2 linked regions of the Kluyveromyces lactis genome follow. The main gene of each other region encodes a partner of the protein of the gene in region 2 in a complex. Links are inferred from orthologs where the notes say so. Each region holds a gene or a part of one and is shown on either strand. Other genes may lie near its edges.

What was found.
Region 1: RPC37 (region 2) and RPB5 share a complex: the UniProt entries of both Saccharomyces cerevisiae proteins name them as parts of the RNA polymerase III (Pol III) complex. The link is inferred for Kluyveromyces lactis from reciprocal best matches to the Saccharomyces cerevisiae genes RPC37 and RPB5.

Annotation. Positions count from the first base shown.
Region 1 is NC_006042.1:1,968,105-1,970,792, forward strand, and holds RPB5 (DNA-directed RNA polymerase core subunit RPB5), read left to right. Parts: upstream 1-1,473; coding exon 1,474-2,121; downstream 2,122-2,688. Other genes in the region: DUF1 (Duf1p), read left to right, coding at 1-932; RIB7 (2,5-diamino-6-(ribosylamino)-4(3H)-pyrimidinone 5'-phosphate reductase), read right to left, coding at 2,383-2,688. UniProt on the Saccharomyces cerevisiae protein: DNA-dependent RNA polymerases catalyze the transcription of DNA into RNA using the four ribonucleoside triphosphates as substrates.
Region 2 is NC_006042.1:1,291,675-1,294,150, reverse strand, and holds RPC37 (DNA-directed RNA polymerase III subunit C37), read right to left. Parts: upstream 1,276-2,476; coding exon 517-1,275; downstream 1-516. Other genes in the region: GCN3 (translation initiation factor eIF2B subunit alpha), read left to right, coding at 1-456; DBP7 (putative ATP-dependent RNA helicase), read left to right, coding at 1,923-2,476. UniProt on the Saccharomyces cerevisiae protein: DNA-dependent RNA polymerase catalyzes the transcription of DNA into RNA using the four ribonucleoside triphosphates as substrates. Specific peripheric component of RNA polymerase III which synthesizes small RNAs, such as 5S rRNA and tRNAs.

The DNA of each region.
Region 1 (2,688 bases), about 680 kb from region 2:
AGAGATCTGCTACACCTTCAAGCACATTTGGTTTCCATAACAGATCATCGAGGGTAAAACTAGAAACTAACAGCATCGATGACCTTCATAGTATCTCTTCTACTGGGAATGGTGAAGTGAACTTCAAATTCAATTCAAAGAGTTTTTCCAAAGATCTGTCTGAACGAAAGCCAGGACTTTTCTTGAACGAATATATCGAAGAAGTTTATCACGCTTATTTGAAACAGGCTCCAAACTCCTCATCAACGTTCATGAAGTTTGGGAGGCGGATCCCCGAGACTTTGTTCATCAGAGACTCAACTAGACCCGTGATACAAATCAAGAGTGGATGCATTCTCACGGTCAACCATTGGAAAGAGGGGTCCACAGGGGAAACTATTGCATTTTCCACATATCTCCCACCCCCTACATATACGGCAAACGACTTGATCGATAACTACCATACTTATGAATCATTAGAAAGACATCTCCCGATATGGCTTGGAAAGATTCTTTTCAAAGAGGATAAAGTCATTAAGACGTACCCAAAAATCACATTCATCATCCAGCCTTGGAAGGACGAGGCTCATTTATCGGAGGAAACGCAACAATCGCCAGAGGCTGAAAGACTAGTAGTAGAACATAAAAGATCAGGGTTCCACAAAAAATCTAAACCACCTGAATCACCCTTAATGCTACCGAAGATTAACGATAGCAATGTTAGATTAACAGCTGCAAATATGATAAAGGCAAAAAAGATCAAGACTTACATAGTGGATAGATTCGAATCAAAGACACCTGAGATGAAAAACAAAGAAGATCCAAGCGAATGGTTAGAAATCTTGTGCAAAGGAACAGTACTAGAAAACGATATCACCCTGAGTGCTATACGCACTTTATACTGGAAATCAAACACAGACATTGTTCTTGAATATAGACGTAAACCGACTTAAAATTAAGAGAGACTGTGAGACTAAGTTCTCACCCAGGCTTATCAATATATATATATATAACTAAATATAGACATATATACAAACATAGAACTACACCTGCCGCCCTTGACTCAGAGCATTCCATACCAACACAAGACAGGCACGTGACTGAAATCATGAAGGACGAGTTTGATGGTTTGGCTCTGTTTCCTTCTTTCATCGCATTGAAATTTCGAAGGTTTGTTGAAGTTTTTCTTTTTCTTTTCAGCCAAAATTTTCCAAAATTTAGAAAGCGATGAGAAACAAATCCATTAATTTGTTGATTGAAATTTAAGAAAAGATTGAAGTTAGGTAGCCGAATAGTCCTTGTACCGGTTGAAATTAAGGGGTAAGATTAGTTTGCATATCGATAATTGAGTTCTTAGTACTTGTTTGTGCATATCGATAATTGAGTTCTTAGTACTTGTTTGTGCATTTTAGAATTTAATACGAACTAATCTTCAAGCGGAAAAAGTTAGTTTCATAAGATATCAAAGGCAAGTGACGCACAATTTTTGTAACAATGGATCAAGAGCAGGAGAGAAACATTTCCAGGCTATGGAGAGCTTTTAAAACGGTGAAGGAAATGGTTAGGGACCGTGGATATTTCATTACCCAGGAGGAAATAGATTTGAGTTTAGAAGATTTTAAGGCTAAATACTGTGATTCTATGGGCAAGCCACAACGTAAGATGATGTCTTTCCAGTCCAATCCAACCGAAGAATCAATAGAAAAATTTCCTGAGATGGGTTCATTATGGGTGGAATTCTGTGATGAAGCATCTGTTGGTGTGAAGACGATGAAGAATTTTGTGGTTCATATTACGGAAAAGAACTTCCAAACTGGTATATTCATCTATCAAAGTGGTATTACTCCAAGTGCAAACAAGATTTTACCAACTGCAGCACCAGCAGTCATCGAGACTTTCCCAGAAGCATCTTTGGTTGTCAATATTACACATCACGAACTAGTCCCAAAGCATATCAGGTTAAGTGAGGCTGAAAAGAAGGAATTATTAAAAAGATATAGATTAAAGGAATCTCAATTGCCTAGAATCCAAAGAATGGACCCAGTAGCATTATACCTTGGTTTGAAAAGAGGCGAGGTTATAAAAATTATTAGAAAGTCTGAAACTTCTGGACGTTACGCAAGTTACAGAATCTGTTTATAAGAGCAATTAAAAAGAGCCATTCCCCAACCCTAAGTAAAGTAAATGCGTGTGTATAATAATAGACCAAATTAGAGCAAGAGAAACTAATAGGGCCTTAAACACACTCTTCGTATGAGAACCCATCAGGGGATATCATAATCTAATTACGATTCTTTTTTCAATTATTTAAGGAAATGATTAATCACGTTTTGAACATAGCATGTCTGAATTAAGAGAGTTCATTGATATAAGAATTCGAATTTTTAGGAAAACAGGTAAAGATCAGGAATGGCTCACAAGACGTGAACATAACACGCTATCCCTTGTTCCCTTCCACCAGGAGATATCTTTCAAATTAATTTCAATAAGAGGAGACACTTCAACACCCTCACTACCCAAGAAGGTGGCACCAACGGTGATGACCAGGGCATCGATAAGGTGTGGTCTCTGTAGCAAATCATTGATAACAATCCCACCACCTTCAACCATGATGGATTTTAATCCGAATTGAGATTTCAATTGGATGAACAAATCGTGCCAGTCCACTTTACCTGTAAAATTAGTTTGCATCACTAAATAGTCAACGTT
Region 2 (2,476 bases):
TCCAGACCGTCTGGCCAAGGGTTGCAACTGTATCATTTACTTAAAAAGAAGGGTATCCCAGTGACAATGATTGTAGATAATGCTGTTGGTACGATCATCCATAAGGTAAACAAGATCTTTGTGGGAGCCGAAGGTGTTGCTGAATCTGGAGGTATTATCAATCTAGTAGGAACGTATTCTATCGGTGTCTTGGCGAAGAATGCAAGGAAACCATTCTATGTGGTTAGTGAGTCGCATAAGTTCGTACGTATGTTCCCTCTTTCGTCAGATGATATTCCAATGGAAAGAGATCCATTAGATTTTAGCAAAAACGGTATAGAAGACGATGAAGAACCATTGAGTGGGCCTTCTGTCGACTTTACAAGTCAAGAATACATCACAGCTTTGATCACTGATCTTGGAGGGTTGACACCTAGTGCTGTTTCTGAGGAGTTGATTAAGATGTGGTATGATTAAGGAGAATTTGATCCCTTCTCGGTTTAATATATATTTATACTTACTAAATACGATAATTAATTAAAATAGTTTTGATAGATACACAGCGTCGTTGTCCATTGGTTTTAATGGTACAGTACTTTTTTCACTTGTAACTTCTTCTACAAACGATTCGAAAGTATCGTCCTTCCATTCCAAAGGTTTGAATTCCTCTTCGTCTGCTACCTTATGAGCTAGCAATGCACCTCCTAGTCTATTTTGATTCGCTTCGCTGCTACTCTTCACTGACATTGTTATTACCTGGTTTTTCTTGGCAGTTGGATTCGCAGGTTTCGCCTTGGCATCCTCGTCCTTCTTAACCTGTTGATGCGAATCGATGTAACGGAAGTATGGTCTCATTTGGGCAACTTTCTCTACTGGTATTAAATATAGCTGTCCTTGTTTCATAACGCCTGCGTATTGCAACATGTCGTTGCTTACAGCCACACCTTTCAAAGTTTGAACGTCGACATTGTTCCAAGACTCAGCAGCTTTTTCTTTGTCGAAGAAGACCTGTGTATTCAATGGGATATCTATCTCCCAAACGCTTGATTCATCCTTATAGCGTACACCAGCAATTGGAGGATGTTCATCCATATTCTTCGCCAGTCTTTTAGGTTTGTTAGGAAACTGTAACACATGCAATGGACAAGGTCCAACCGTTAAATTAATGGGTATTTCATTCACTACTGGATCGTCTTCTTTAAGAATCTCTGATGATTGGAGCTTCTTATCGAGTTTACCGTTCCCATTCATCTCAGTATCACCGTCCTCATCGGTAACAAACAAACCATTAGACATTTTGAGACCACTGACACCCTCTTACAGATACCTGGATAGAAACAGGACAATAGTTGGTTGTACAAGTGGTTCAACACTCATTAGTTGTACTAATGAGTGAGCCTTCTCATCCGAAATGTCAAAATTTCAATCGATGCGATGAGCCGTGTCTTGTGATCATTGAAACAAGAAGAGAGAAGCGTCTGTAAAAGGATGGTTTATCACCTTCCAACTGGTTCCATACCGGCTGGGCGAGTATTTCATCACCACCTTATTAATATTTGTCATAAGCGACTTTTGTCTCTGTCCATCTGCCTTTCTACGTGTATATAATATGCTTTAACATTAAACTTCAGACAAGGTTTGTAGAATTGAATCAGTAATGAAACCAAAGAGATATCAATTTCAGCACATAACATGACCTGTACATAGCACGAACCACTACAGTGTCAAATGTCCAGTTCAAACGATCCTGATAGTCGCCAATCTAACTGTATTTTATCCAATTCTGTGAGTATTTACCTTTGTATTGCTTTTTCTTGACATCAAGCATAGAAAATTTTAATATGGAAGTAGGACTTAACTGTGCGATGAGCTGACATTAGATGAAGTGAAAGTCTCTGTACGTCGCTCAGCAGCCCATATCAACGATCATCAAGTAGGTAAAGATGAGTTTCAATGATGACGATGATGGAATGCTGTTAAATTTTACAACTGACGTTAGTGATGCTAGTGAAACAGTCAGTAGAGGTAAAATTACCGGTGGTAAATGGAAGGACAGGAGAAAGGCCAAAATGATGATGGAAGGTCGTAAACCGAGGGTCAGGGGTGAAAAGAGACCATTAGAATCTGATGGAGCACCAACTTTTGAAGAATTGGAAGCCTCCTCTTCGAATTCAACTTCGGCACAGGCACCTGTAGAACCTAAGAGATCAAGATTTGATAACAGTTCTAATGTAGAACAACCAGCTAGGGTAACGCAACCATTACAGCTAAACTCGCAAATCGTTTCCTCTTTGTTCACGTCCAGTAGAAATATTGACACAGTTACCAATAGTAATGCTCATGATGAAAAAGCCGAAGTGACTTATTCCAATGCACCATTGGTTGGTGACACCTTCGATTCGTTCGGTATCACTGACACGATGGTTTCACACTTAAACGTCAAGATGAAGATTTCTAAGCCAACTAAGATTCAGAAGTTGGTTATCCCACCATTCTT